Oreochromis niloticus: one gene and its partner. The protein of the gene in region 2 purifies or fractionates together with the protein of the main gene of each other region. This does not show direct contact. Links are inferred from orthologs where the notes say so. Each region holds a gene or a part of one and is shown on either strand. Other genes may lie near its edges.

What was found.
Region 1: the proteins of sorbs3 (region 2) and dlg5a purify together in Homo sapiens (co-immunoprecipitation; 3 studies listed by BioGRID and IntAct, with this or other methods). This does not show direct contact. The link is inferred for Oreochromis niloticus from reciprocal best matches to the Homo sapiens genes SORBS3 and DLG5.

Annotation. Positions count from the first base shown.
Region 1 is NC_031978.2:16,464,942-16,473,107, forward strand, and holds the start of dlg5a (disks large homolog 5a), read right to left. Parts: upstream 3,030-8,166; 5' UTR 2,582-3,029; coding exon 2,278-2,581; intron 1-2,277. Other genes in the region: anxa11a (annexin A11a), read right to left, coding at 7,165-7,224, 7,316-7,438, 7,531-7,589. UniProt on the Homo sapiens protein: Acts as a regulator of the Hippo signaling pathway.
Region 2 is NC_031977.2:13,314,138-13,321,404, forward strand, and holds the start of sorbs3 (vinexin), read left to right. Parts: upstream 1-4,220; 5' UTR 4,221-4,402; intron 4,403-4,434; exon of another isoform or gene 4,435-4,453; intron 4,454-6,775; exon of another isoform or gene 6,776-6,877; intron 6,878-7,267. Other genes in the region: E3 ubiquitin-protein ligase NEURL3-like, read left to right, coding at 1-546. UniProt on the Homo sapiens protein: Vinexin alpha isoform promotes up-regulation of actin stress fiber formation. Vinexin beta isoform plays a role in cell spreading and enhances the activation of JNK/SAPK in response to EGF stimulation by using its third SH3 domain.

The DNA of each region.
Region 1 (8,166 bases), on a different chromosome or scaffold from region 2:
ACCAAAACATAAAGAAAGAAAGAAAGTGATACTCAATATTCTAAGGGAATCTTTGCCGTTTAATGAGAGGTAGAAATGTTGTCAAAAATCAGGAAGCCAGACTTGGTCCCCCCAGCATACAGATGCGCAAAAACAGGCTAAATAATGAATGTGTTTGCATGTTCTTTACAGCAAATATGCTGCAGTTTCCCAATGAAATACTTATAATTTACAGAGCCCGAGCTTTAAACAATACAGTACTTATGCGTGCATCTGTATGTTTTTCCTTTGGGCTGAGGATGCTTCTTTGGATGATTTCATGTGTGTGCGTGTATAGAGGCTCAGCTGGCACAGGAGGCACATCTGAGAACAAAAGCAGGCAGGCAGCCTGAGAGGAGGACAAGTTGAGAGCAGGTTGCTATCAGCAAGACTCATCACACTCATATTCCCTCTTTTCACACACCCTGCGTTGTTCACAGATACACCGCAGCTTTGAGGATTTCATCCGTATGTGCTTTTTCTACCAGATTCTTTGCCTGAAGGTGCTCTGTGAGCAGCTTGTCTTCAGTCTCTTGCAAGTATGGTTAAAACATGGTAATCGCATCATCCGAATTACTATATTAAAAGATAATAAACAGCACATTAAAGAGAAGCACAACACTTGAGTCAAAGCAGAGGGAGTCAAAAGCGTGACAGCTAATAAAGAGGACTGTAGAAGTACGATAAAGCGCGTCTCACAGAGAGAATTTACACCAGAGAGAGGAGAGCAGGCCCTAATCCTTTGTTGAATAACCACAGGCTGACAAGCCAGACTCACCATTTGTGCTCGCACTCTCCTAATACAGTCAGGTCAGCTCTGAGGCCCGGTGTTATGATCTATAAAGGTGAGCGAGTGAAGAAAAACCCAAATCCAGATTGCCAAGTACTGCCAACGGCAAACAGACCAGACCAGACTCTCAGCTGCTCAAAGAAACACAGTGAATGCGTTTCTTAGCATGTCAGCAGGTGTGTTATTCTGCAGCAGCAACAGTCAATACAAGGAAGTAATAAAGCTTAAGGAAACATTAGTGATCCAGTCAGCAGAGCAGCAAGACCAAATCAGCATTACCTGCTAAGATCTACTTGCTGGTAGTAAAGTGAGGCGTGCTACAACTTGGCAGCCGTAAACTATGGACACAGCTGTAGCTGTTTCACACAGGGTGGCTTCAAAATTATATGCAACATTGCCTGCAATGCTGTTTTAATGTGAAATGTATCAAAAGCCAAGCATGGCGCTGCATCTCTTCCCCAGATTTGGATCTCAAGGCTCATCCTGCATTCAGGCCCTCAGGGCATGACACTGTTTGTAAGCCACTGGCTTCAGTCATTCAAAGTAAAACAGGCAAAACTAGATGAGGCTTTTACACTTGGTTGCCCTTTGTCTCCGTGCAACAACAACCCACACCACTGAAGTGGAGGGCACTTGCTGTGAGGACAGAGGCCAAATGAAATGAATGCAATGAATGAACTCTGATTAAAATGCAGCATTAATGCACAACTGGAGAAAAAAAAAAAATCAGTCCTTGTTAGAATAAAAGTGTGGTTTACTCCCCAAAAAGAGGAGTGTGGCCTGATGCAGACTGATCCATTTAGGCATGGGCAGGCTGCATGCACACATCACTACAAGGTACAGACCAACATGTGAGTGGTACACCCGTTGTCATGGAAACAACTCGGATTAATCTAATGTACCACAGCCATCGCATGCCACTAACAACACATGAGAATTTGTGGTGGTTATTAGGCGATCTGACTTTCTTTAAACAGAACACTGATATCAATACTTAAAATATTCAGAAGCTATAGCCACTCAAGCTAATTCTACACTATTGCACTGATTTTTATTGGACTGTATAGTAGAGACTCGGAGAGGGCATAATGGCTGTGAGCAATGACAAAAGTCCTTGGTCGTACTACTCCTTGCTTGTGCATTATATCTCCAGCCTGCAGTTTAAAGATCAAGGCCAGTGCTTTATATTCTGCACATTTAACAGCACAAAAATTTGCACATTGCCATTAGTTCTTCTTACAAATTTCATAGCATGCATAAAGGAGCACTGCTGCAACCCCCCTCTGCAACCTCTTCCCGTGCACCTTTCTCATGGCAAAGCAAGCTTCAAGCTCGAGTATTGTGTAGCTATCCACACACACGTTTTCTTCTGAGAGACCACCCAGATTGTCGCTTCTTACAGTAAGTAGTACTCATTTATAGAATCAAGTGAAGACCCGTTCAGGAGAACTGAGAGTCTCAGCTCTTACCGGTGGAGTGGTCCACAGGTCCTCCCCCGTTGTTCCCGAACAGAGCAGCATACAGGTCAGGGTATGCCTTCTCCAGGGCCACACACAGGTCGAGGAAATGGTCGCTCTCCTTGTTCATCAGCATCTTCAAAAGGTGGTCGACTTTCTCGGCGCTGGACGAACAGTTCTGGTCCAGCTCGAACCTGTCGAGTTGACTCAAAGTACCGGAAACTATCAGCAGCTCGATCACACGGTCCGCATCTGTTATGGACTCCAATAAGTTCTGGTGACACTGGTCTAGCAACTCTTTGTGCTTTGGCTCCATTGCTATCCGCTGTAGTTCCGTAGCTTCCCAGCTAACCCCAGACGGCCAAGTGGATGTAATATCCTTCCCGATCAAAAGTACTGAGCGATTATTGAACTTAACTTGTAGCGGCTTGCAGAACTTCGCCGGAGCCACCACGGCATTAGGTTGCACGGGAGAACAATTTTTATAGCATACTGAAAAAGGCACAAGAAGCCATATTTGTTGCCCAAGGCTGTTGACTGCACTAAACAGCGATACATTTTTCCATCTTACCAACGTGTGGCGCTTCTCGTCGTTTTTCGCTTCCCTTCAGAGTACGCTTTAACCGAACACATTTTCCTCTTTTTATGTATCATTTCATGCGCCTTTTGCTGACTCAACTGCTGGGAAAACTCACGTAACTCCGCCGCTGCTGCCCAGTTACACTGTATCCTCCGCCATGTCTGAGCAACTCAGCAGCTGCTGCTCGCTGTCAATCAACGGTCCGCTCGGTGACCATATAAGGCAAAATGAGGCGGGGAAGACGCGACGGCACGCCCATTTTTTCAATGGGCGTACACATCATCCCCGTACTACGTCGAAAATCCCAGGTGGAAAAAAATCACAACGAACAGAATGAAAATATAGAGATAATATTAAAAATATCGACATGGCGGTAAAGAACCACAAATGGTGCACTTCTACCCAAAGGGGGAAGCAACGTTCTACTTTGTATTCTTATTTACTGTAGTTACTTAGTATATATTTATATATTCCTATTTTGAGTATTTATATTATTAATATTCATATAGAGATTTATTTGTTATATCTACAGTAAATGCCATATATTCTATTTCTGTACCACGGATTTTTGCATCATGACAACAAGACAAATATGTGGAAAAACCTGTGGACCAACTTGCCAATAAGAATAAATAAATTCTGATTCTGATTCTTTAATAAGATTTAATACGATTTTGCTGTTTGAAGCCATTGTTATACTTTTTACTGCATTAAGTGTAAATTAAACTCTACTAAGTCAGATTTTACTGATGCAGTCTTTATCAACCGGGACAAAACAACAGTGTGTTGCTAATTACATGATAATTAATATTTATTTACGTAATGCAAGGCTTTGTGATGGAGGGTGTTCTTTCTAGTTTTACCTAAAGCATGTATCTTTCCTCAGTGTGAATCATCTCCTATGTCACCACAGTGCATGAGATGAATTTGAGAGCTAAAAAAAAGACGTTGCCAAAAATAGGCTGGTTGATAAACCGGGTGATATTAATTCATTATTATAATCTTTGGATTTAACACTGACACAACAAATCAGCAGAGCTTCATCGTAATCCTCACTGACTACATTAGGAATTTTATTTGGGGAAAATGTTAAAGCAGTGATAAAAACATAGGGATTTTTATCTTCCCCTTGCTTAATGCTGCTGCTGAAGCCACAGGCTTATGCACCCTGCCTCTAAAACCAAGCTGCACTGCAACCAGTTTTACTCTGCGCACTACATATATGTGCAGGATTAGGCAGAAGAGGGCAAAACGCCATTTGTGAACGTATATGCTGTGACAAATGAAATGTGTATTTGACTAGGCTTTGTGAAATGCAGTGTGATGATGATGGATGCACTCTGCCTCTAGTCTACAAATGAATAAAGACTGCTGGCACAGAGGCAAGCATCTGCGGGCATACCTCTCAGACCGTGACCTTATTCATGCATGCACTGAATCTCATTGTGACATCTCCTCCAAACCCACACCTCCTCCTTTCTGTCTATCTGCCATGCTGGCTCCATAGCTTGTGCAACCATGTGCTATCCCTTTAGATGAAAAATTAATTACAATTCATTCATATCAAAGGGAAGCAGGTCCCTAGTGCTGACACAGATTGGACAATTGTGTCTGTACCCTACCTTCGAGGACATCCCATTTAAATAGAGAAGACAGCCTGATCCTTTTTATCTTGGGGGTATGAATGAGTTTATTATTTAGACTACAAGGGTGGTGCTTGTGGCTGTCTGATAATTTACTGAATTTTATTAAACAAATTGTATGTCAGGCAGCTCAGATCACAGCAGATAATAGCTTTATCTTTTATTGAAAAGACTGTCAACAAGTATATCCATCACCGATCCCGGTCAAATTGTCTCAAATGGAGACAACAAATCATTTTCATGGATTTTTTTCTTTTCTTTTTTTTTTATTATCAGCTTCGCTGTCTCAGCTGAGAGTAACAAAGCAATTGGTTTATTAGACACTTACTTCTCGCACTAATTTCCTGCATGGATGCATGAGAGTGATAGCATTCCCAAAGCAGTGAATACACAATGCTCATTTAAAGAGGAGGTAGTGAAATGTTAGAAGGGTATGTGTTTGCTACTGTCATTTATAGAGTTTTATCTTTCATAATGTAATTTCATCTTTTCCCCCACAATACCTCAGACACTGTGAGAGGATTCCCAAGTGATTAGATCAGTCATAACAGACAGTAAATTAGGCAATTCGTGGTTTTTAATTAACGGTGAATTACACAGCCTTCAGCTAGACGCCTGCAACAGACGAGAGGCTGATGGTTGTAATGATATCAGAACTGCAATGTTGGCATAGACATGCCAGAAACACTTTGTTTAAAAAAAACCCTAATCTAATCACATCTAAATTATCTTTTTAAAACTGATGTAATCGCATTCAGGATTCATTACACTTTTAGCCATTGTAATCTAAACAGCCATCTAAAGCCCTCAAACCTTCTCTGCCTTTTCTAGTCAGTTTTAACATGAGGTGATCAAAAGTGATTCCTCCAGCATGGCTCTTCCCTAAGGGTCCCCCATGCATCTGACAGCCCCAGTCATGGTAGACTTGTTTAATGTGGGCAAGGCAGCTTTATGGATGCCATTAATTCCACAGGCTCCGCCTCCCCCTTCTCACTTCACAGAGTTATTGATTGTAGTGCACTTAACACACACAGACATACACTACTATGGCCAGACAAGCGCATAGCCATGTCTTTACAGTGTTGAACAGCATTTTAAGTGAAGCCAACAGAACTTAATAAGGCATATAGAGAACAGTTATCTGTATTGATTGAGCAAAATACAGTGTGTTTAAGTCTCACACTGCTTTATGGCAGTGATAGTGAGACTTTTAGCTGATACAGTGTGAAAGAACCAGCAGCCTTGTTTGGTGGTTTGTACATGTGTAAACTGTGACCACGATAATTAATTCAGTGCCATGATGTGACTATGATTTTTGCTTGCTGTATTTTTTAGAGGTAAAGACATCACTGCCCTCTGCTGACAAACCAAGTCTACTACCAAACCCTTACAGCATCGCAGTGGTCCAGCCAAAGGTTTGGTTATTGAGCATGACCACAAAGTTTGAATGGCTGGCAATAAATTTTACTTTTTGACCTAAAATACAGTAACTAGTGAAGTAGTATCATTGACAATAGCAATTTAGTGAAATTCTGAATGTTAAACAAATTGAGCAATTAATATTAAAAAAAAACCCCAAAAAACCATCTGAGTAATTTCCGACTTCCAGAGTTGACTTAGGTGATCAAACATGTATGATTTGATTCAAAAAGGTAAGCTTAATTTTTTTTTATTAACAATAAACAAACATTTTCTCGCCTTCATCAACAGCCAAATTACCATCTTTCTGTTTTTTTTTTCAAATGGCTGCGAACAATTTCTCTGTAATGTTATCTGCTGCACTATGTATTAACATTTTTTAGACGTCTGTATTGTGCAAGGGTTTGTCTGCTTGAGGCGACTGATGCGACACAAATAAAAATGTAACTAAACTTGGTTTCTTCTCAAAAGCATTACTGCCATATTCATATATTCAGAACGCCTTTTCACCAGAACCCATTTGCGCTTGTGATCTAATAAAGGGATGTGACATACACTAGAGGGGTGCCCATTGGCTAAAGCCTTTTCATAGAGTTTGTTGCAGTTTTATGGTTTTCAGTGTAATGAACAAAAAAAACAATCGCAGTGTACATTCTCAGTATTTATTTCCTGAATCCCCTGAAAATGGCACCTTAATTATGAAACGTCATGCTCAATGATGAACTATAGTGACCTTTATGTGACAAAACTACTGCAAACATAGCTTTTAGAAACAAAACTCAAGACTAGAAAAAATATAGAAGAGATTGTACAATTGCAAGCATTATCTTTTACTTTGGTACTTAGCTGCTATGTATTATATGCCTCACTTTTATCAGCATTGCTGAAAATTAACTAGCTGCTAAACATCAGATACAATTCAGTATCTGATCATATTGGCACAATAAAAATCTTTTTAAAATATATATATCTCTTCAAGATCCGATGTAAACTCTTACAAATCCATTTTGTAAATCCATGTACTGTCATATCCGGCCAATATAGTACAAACAAAAAAATATATAAAACATTTTTTACATACTGTTTATAGAAAGGTAACAATATGTATGAGCTTTTTAAAGCTAGGTAAATTTTGCATTGAAAGCATTGACATGGCATGCAAGTATGCAGTGTGTGTATAGTGCATACAGATAAAGATTCAGAAAGACTATATTTGAAGAAACTTCTGTAAAGAAGTCGACAGACAGCCTCCCTTTTTCAGTCACTGCCCCCGCAGAGCTTGAGTAGGAGTTTCTTGTAGTCTCCTGATGTGTCTCCCTGTTCAACACAGCCCAAGAAAATTAAACATCCATCTCTTAAAAACAGATTTTATTGGATACAGTGCTTTTGTATTATAGTAGATACTTACAGAGATCGCAGTGTACAGAGACTTGCCGTAATTTTTCACATACTCCTGGCGAATGTCCAGCATGTCAACCTCGGAACGGGAGACCATGATCCGGATCAGAGTTTTGTCTTTTGTCCCAGCTCCCTGCACACAAACAATAACACACACACAAAAATAATATGAATATGATGCTACATCTATTTAGTAATGCACAGACACAGAACAGACTGTCTCACCTTCATGGCTTTGTAGAGTCTTTCAGCAAAATATGCAGGTGTGTTTTTAATGCACTTCACTAAAACAGACAAAAACCAAGTCATTACCAAGACAACAACAATATATTATTAACTGTACACAAGCAGTATCCCATTTATTTCTCTAAAACACCACAAAATGACATCTGGGAAATGGAAACAAAACAACAACAACAACAACAACAAAAATCTTCTTAAAAAGGTTACACTAAAGCTCCTTCAGTGATCTCAGTGTATCTGAATGAGTCAGTCTAAATGTGCACCCAGGGCATGTTTTTTTTCTGTAAAAGTGATGGCAATCTTATTAGACCGGTATTCCTGATGCATCCACATCAATGACGGCAAAGTGAAACAAATTCAGTAGATAGGGATGTACATTACAACCCCCCTGAGAAAAGGGTTTGCAGAGAGGCAAGAATGTGTAAAGGAAAAAAACAAAAAACAAAAGAAAGAACAAAAACAACAGAAAACACACCACACAACAACATCAACTTCAGGCTCAAATCTACTGTGAAATAGTAAATGTGACATTAAATACGATATTTACTCCACCACCACCACCTGAGCATCTCCATAAAGGAATAACGCTGAAAAATTCCTCTAAGCCCTAAATGTCAG
Region 2 (7,267 bases):
AGATGCAGCTCACGCTGTGTCGGTCCTCTGACCTTCGACAGTCAAGCTGTGGGAGAAAAGATCCGCCTGAGTCATGGAGGTCGACTCGCAGAGAAGACTGAGAACACCTTCAAGAATGGGCTGGTGTTCAGCAGCCGTCCAGTGAAGGTCCAGGAGAAGATTCGTCTGAGAGTAGAGAGGGATTCGACCATCTGGGACGGGGCTCTGCGTGTGGGCTTTACCACTGTGCCACCCTCAGCCAGATCTCTACCTCTGCCCTGCATGTCCATCCCCAATCTCACTGACAAGCCGGGACACTGGGCTGTTCCACTGGATGAATCTGTTTGTCAAGCAGGTTCAGAGCTGGAGTTTTGGGTTTCTTCTCATGGCAGCATATACGTAGGTGTCAACAACGAGGAGTACGAGCGACTAACAGGAGTGGACATGAAACAGCCACTGTGGGCCATGATAGACATCTACGGACAGACGCGCTCCATTTTATTCCTGGGTAAGTTCACTAGAACCACAGTTATATTTGACCTGCAGAATGTTTTTCCTGTTCTGTGAATGCAGAGCAATTCACATGCTCTGACAGTTATAAATGTTGTCTGAATGACCATTCATAGACTGAATGACTATTCAAATACTCCTTTCTCTTTGCTGAAGACTCCAAGAAAAACAAAAAGCTGCTTTACCATAGAAGATCCTGTCCTGCACCTGAACCGCTCACCTCACCTGATGCTTACAGTCACTTTCGTTCAGTTCCTGATGTTTCAAACTTCAGACGTGATGACTGCATCTCCTGTCTTGACACAAAAATGCCAGAAGGTAAAGAGTCATTTCAAACATTATTGGCTAATTTCAGTTGCACATTTCTGACCAGAGAGGATAAAAGTGAAATCAGCTGTAATAGTGTGGTCTCATTTCCTGATGTCACATTTGTAATTGGGATCTCTCTCTTTTTACCACAGATAAAATCTGTGTGGTGTGCATGGTGAAAGAGGCCAGAATCACACTGCCTTGTGGTCACCGATGTTTATGTAAAGACTGCAACTTCAGAGTCTGTGAGCAGTTTGGTACCTGTCCGCTGTGTCGACACACGATCAGAGCTTCATCAGTGGTGGAGAGGTGGTTTATAGAGGTCAGCTGATCTCTGAGACAACAGCCCGGAATTGTGACAGAAGAATAGCAGCAAGAGTGAAAGGGAACGTTTACAAGATGGTAGTGATGTTCTGCTGGGATGTATGGTGTGGAGATGGTGGCACTGACAAACAGACAGGAGGCCAAGTGTTGGCAGTTTTGAAGATGCTAAGAATGTCTCTGTTAGTGACCATACGGGACAGGACTAGAAATGAGTACATTTAGAGGACAGCTCAGATTGAGCGGTTTGGAGACAAAGTTAAAAAAGCAAGGCTAAGATGGTTTGCACGTATGCAGAAGAGTGATAGTGAATAAACTGGACAAAGGATGTTGAAGATGGAGCTGTTAGACAGGAGGAAGAAAGCAAGACAGAAAAGGATGATAGGATGATCCACTGTGCCGACCCTGAAAGGGAACAACCAGAAGAAGCAGAAGAGGAAGAAAGAAACTTTACAAAAAGGTTGATGTACAGACACTGAACTGAAATATTTCTAAATTGAAATGATTGAAATAGTACATCTCTTTTTGTTTTATAAACAAAATGTATTTTTGTAATTTTTAAGTCATTGTATGACTTAAACACTTAATGCAAAATGTGCTGTATGGTTCATTTTTCATTGTTATTGTAAATTGTAAAGCAATGTTGGATTTTTTAAAATAAAAAATTCAACTATGCCAGTATAATTAATGTGTAATATGTCATAATAAGCTCTTTTCTGTTATTTAGCTGTATGTGTTTTTATGAAACTTACTGTAAATTACAGTGAAATTAAATGGACTGTGATAAAAGGAAACCTGTCGAGACCATGTTTGATTAAAAATGTCTCTACAATCAGGTATTTACTGATTATAGGGACATTAAGAGAAAAATCAAAGCAGGAGTTCAGGTAAGAACACACTGTGTTGCCGACCCAGGCCAGCCCACGTACGTGTCATTGAAGCGGCCCTGATGGTCACAAACTGCCTGCAAGATGAATGATGGGAATAGTTTCCTGTTTCTGTAGCATTGACCATCAGGGCCGCTTGGAGACTTGAAGCGGATGTGGCAGCCGTCGATTGCCCCCACCGCTCTCAGAAAGGCTCTATGGCGTGCCAGCCCTGCAAACCCACAGGACAATACCTCCAGGTCCTTGAGGGTCTTTGGGAGCAGCATGATCTAGTGGCTAATGGCCACCACCCCCTCTGTGAGTCTATGAACAATGTAGTGGACTGTAGAATGAGGCATCCCAAACACTCTTGAGACCACCTGTAGGATGCTCCTCTTGCCAACCAGAAAAGAAACACCAGGGTCTCAGTTGTTGCACCCCAACCATGCTGCCGATCCGGGTTCATGAGATTTAGCAACACTGCCATAGACTCCCTGCTTAGCCGAAAATCAAGCCTGCGATCCTCATGGTTAAAAAAACGGTCCAGGATTGGGACACTCAGGTTAATCCTGCAGTACCAGACTCTGGTCTGGTTAAGCAAAAGGTGGAGAACAACATAAATAGTTTTAGTAATAAGGTATGATTTCATTTATTTTAAGAGATCAAAGCATTAATTTGAATATTAAGCTTAAGTAAAAAATACTAATGCACTGTGAAAAGACTTAAATATTATACACTTCATCTGTGTAAATGCTAAAAACTGAGTAAGTAAAAAACATCAAACAAACGCTAGCTGGGAAATAACAATGCATCATTGATCACATTATTAGACATACTAAAGGTGTCTAATTAGTCATTGAAACGAATACATATCAATATATAAGATTTGCAAGTTAATTTATATGTCTCAGCATATTTTATAACTGGAGGAAAATACATGTTATGATGAAACAACATTTTTATTATTAAATATTTAACCTGCCTACTGTTTGAAGTGGAGGTTTGCAGGTGTTTAAATTGGAGGGAATACATAGGACTGCCTAAATTACTACAGCTCCTTGTCTCTGGCGACATCTGTCTGTGCAACCTGATATCATATGACAAATCCTGTAATAGACCCAACAGTTCCCCTCAGAGCCACAGAGGGACGGTGTGGTACTATCTTTCATGTTAAGGTGCTTTCCAATGCAAAGTCTGTCAGAGTGAAATTGGAGGATATGTTGGGGTGTTGCTTTTTGGACTGCAAAGAGGATCCAACAGAGAAGAGGGCATACATCATTTGACCACTGATGGAAAAAATAGCTTGCAAACTTGTACTTGTGTGTCTGGTGTTCCAGAGATGACCTTTATTAATCAAAAATGAGTTTTTCCTCTGTGAATAATGGATTGCTCATCTGGAAACTTGGTTCAAGAAGAATAAATAACGGTCCCTGTTGAGCTGTTTGGTAACATGGTTGTCTTTTGTCTCTAACACAGCGGCAGACTCACAGAGGTGCGACCTTTGATTCCTGGTCTCACAGCCAGACTGTTAAATATTTATCTTGGATGGCAGGGCTGCGCTGCTTCTGGACTCAGGGTGAAAGAATCTAACAGATAAAACCCTCAAGAACTTAACAGAAGCTTAACATTTGTCCAGAAATGCAGCCGATCTTCATGATTACACTGTGGATTTTACAAGACTACAGCTTGAATACAAAGGTTTTCTCATACTGGGTGGCTGCATAGGGCCTGATACAGAGGATGGAAAAAGTGACACTTATTTTGGGATTAGCCTTTGTGTCCTAGTCTGGGGCAAGTGTTTGCATATTTGGGGTTGTTAGCGGATATGAGTTCATGTAAAAGAAAAAAAGAAATATACTTTCCTGGATCCTGTCTGCTATCTGGATGTCATAGAAAGTGCTAAAGACTCTCCTTTTTCCTTTTTTTTTGATTGATATGAATGTGACACACACTAAAGGCTTAAGAGTGTGAATAGACCAACAGGATTATAACACTAAGGCCTATTTATTGAGATTGCTATAGAAATCATCTTTTTTGGCATGTGCTGTCAAACACCGGAAGGTGGTTCTGCTGCGCCTCTATGGGAATTTCTATTATTTCCAGCTGTGGATGGAAACTATTACCAAGCCCCTTTTTCCCTGATGAGCTTTAAAGAGCATGCTCACACAAACACAAGAAACACACACACACACACATATTACATGCGCACGCCTATGGACACCCAGTCAAACATTCAGACTCAGGCTGAATCATTCACAGAAGATAAAAGACACCCTGTTGGCTTTACAAAGAGAAAGAGGGAGGGAGAGTTCGAGAGAAAAAGCAGCAGCAGTAGTGCCCTCCTTTTTTTTCATTCACTTCCTCTCTCTCCTTGTGTGCTGCAGAGACTTCACCGCTCAGCCTGCACTCTACAGCCTGTAAGTACTGTACAACTTGTGCCTCGGCTTCTCACAGTGACTAACGCAAAGGTTAGAGCTACTGGGATTTAAACGCTCAGAAAGAAGACTTATGTTTTTCTAGCCTCTTTCAGTTTTGACTTCAATTTTCGTGTGAGACTGTAGCACAGATGTGATATTTGCTTCTTCTCGTCACTACTCAGTTCATCACTGGCATTGACAAACAACATAAGGCATTATTTTTTTTAAGTCACTGGTCTGTTACTGCTGTGGGTTTATTTTCAGAATTTGTTTAAGTGACCTTAAGCAGCTGTCTGTGGTTCAAAAGATGGTTATCATCTGACCTTTATCCACACACCGACTCCCATGGTGGCTTTACATGTGGGGATATTTCAGTGTTTTCATCCTAGAAGTGCACTCTATCGCTCTTTTGGAAACAGGCATTAAAACCTGCAAGGATTTATTTCTATACAAGACATGTTTAGAGTGTGAACCAGAGTCCTGGGACATGTACAGCTCAGAAAAAAATGTTGTTTACTGCTAAAATAAACTCTGATGCATTTTTGTTTGTTCTCAGTGACATTCCACATGGGCTACCTCAGCGCATAACCTGTTGTATGGCCGTCGTTCCTTATCAGTCGTCTATCATGATGGCAATGTTTTTCTACGCTTTTGACTTATCTATCTTTACATCTTTCATTTGATTACAACAGTATCTGCTGTCTCCTGTCTCCTCAGAAGACGGAGAAGCTGATGCTTTAAAAAAAGGCTTGGGCCATAGCCACCAAGTATTTTAAGGTTTTTAGATGATTGACCTCCTGAGATCTTTAGCTGTCATTGTTTTAATTAGCTTGTGTGGTAAAGGTCTGCTTGAATCTATCAGTAACAATGAAGGGCTGAAGTACAAGATCATCTGTGTTCCTTCCTATCGTGATTATCTGGTTAAAAACCCCAAAATAAAACAAAAGACAAAAACAAAAACTGGAGCTGACAATGAGTAAACCTTCATGTTTGCGTGGCAATAAGAGAGTAAGACAAATTGAGCAAGGTTTTTAATACAGAGACGTGCTGAGCACCACCGCGCCAAACCTGCTATTGCCTCTTACGTGATTACCTCATTTAGGCGCAGAGTGACAAAGTACCAGATTTGGTCACAGCAGGGTTAAAGTCTGTGCCAGCAGGACACAGATTATGAAGGAAGGCTCCTCTAGATCGCCCTGCACTGTCCGTTTAGGTTCAGCAGCTCAACTGGTTGGCGAAAACAATCCTGTGAAGCGTACAAGCTCAGTAAGTGGATATCTGCGCTGAGCTTTGGTGTACCAAGCCAGACCGCTGAATTATTGAAAGAGCTGAGTGCTTCGATTTCAAGTTGAAACTGGCGAGCACATGCACAAAAACATACACTTTTAAACAAATGGGCAGACCGTTGAGTAGGCCCTGATAAATTTCCTTCTTTGTCCTGCTGGCTTTCAGTTTATTGCTGGAATAAAACATGGATGTAAAAGGAGGGATTGCATCTGTCAGCAGGTGATCGGATCACTCACCTGCAACACAGACATTGTAAATCAGTCTTCCTGCTGCATAATATGTGCCAAAGCAAGCCTGTCAGCACACTGGATTTCAGGTTTTACACCGTTTGTCTTTTTTGGCAAGAACTGTGGGCAAACTGGAAATCCTGGTTTCATTTGGGCAAGAACTGTGTGTGTGTGTGTGTGTGTGTGTGTGTAAGACAGCAGGATTTAAGAATGTGTTTGTTCCTGTTTGACTGATCTCCTTCTAATTTGCCTTTAAAAGGGCAAAACATATTTCAGTCTCTTGTTGTTTCATTTTTATCTTCACATCCAAAAAAGTATTGCTATTGTGTGCGATCATGGGAGAAAAGTCAGCAGGACTTGTGCTGTCAGTGGTTGCCTATGTGGCGTAGAGTAATGACTCTGAAACACTTCCAGAGCTACAGGAACAGAAAGAGCTCTTATTCTCCCTTCATGCCTTTGGCTAGCCAAAGACCTGGACTGTGTACACACACACATTCATGTAAGACACACACACAGACACACAAAAGGAGAGGAAGGCATGGGATAGATAAAGTTAGGAGGGGACATGATGGAGTCACTGGGTAGTGTCTGGGAGGTGGAGGTGATGAACTATTTTGGTTCTCCTTTGGTTAACCCTGTGCAGTGAAATATCACCTTATGACAACAATAGAGCTGCTTCACTGAAGGAGGTGCCCCAAACTGACAAGTCAAGTACGAGGGGGGCACTTCTTGAATATGGGGGGGTTAAAATGGGTTGCTATGGCAATGCCTGTCAACCGGAGAAGTCTTCCGCGGAAGCAGGGAGAGAGAGGACTGGAAAAGAGAAGAAGAGAGAGAGAGAGAGAGAGAGAGAGAGAGATTGTGTGTCCTGGCTAGTTTCATGAGTCAGAGAAAGTGGAGGGAAGGTCTGCAAGTGTGGTTTTCATGCACAGCTCATGCAGACAGAAAGAGGTGTGAGTGGGTAAGTACACCAAATGGGAGCACAAATATATAAAAACCAATAGCAGGGATTGACCTTAAGCATTGTGGCTGTCTGGAAACATGTGTAAGTTTTAAAACTGTGTTTTGTTTAAGGTTGAGTAACCTGTCTGACTGCTCAGGGATTACATGCTGCTCTACAGGATTAATGCTGCGGTTTACAGTGTCTTAAAGCAAGTTAACTCATGTAGTTAGTGTTGAAACGGACAACAGGAGTGTGCTCCACTTGCGTCTGAGCAAGTGGAGATGAGAGCAGCTGGAGTCACAGCTGGAGCACTGAGGGAGAGAGTGAGAGTAAGAAAGAGAGAGAGAGAGACCTGGCATTGGGGATAGTGTTTCCCAACATGTCATCCCTTGTTGCTTTGCCCAGTGG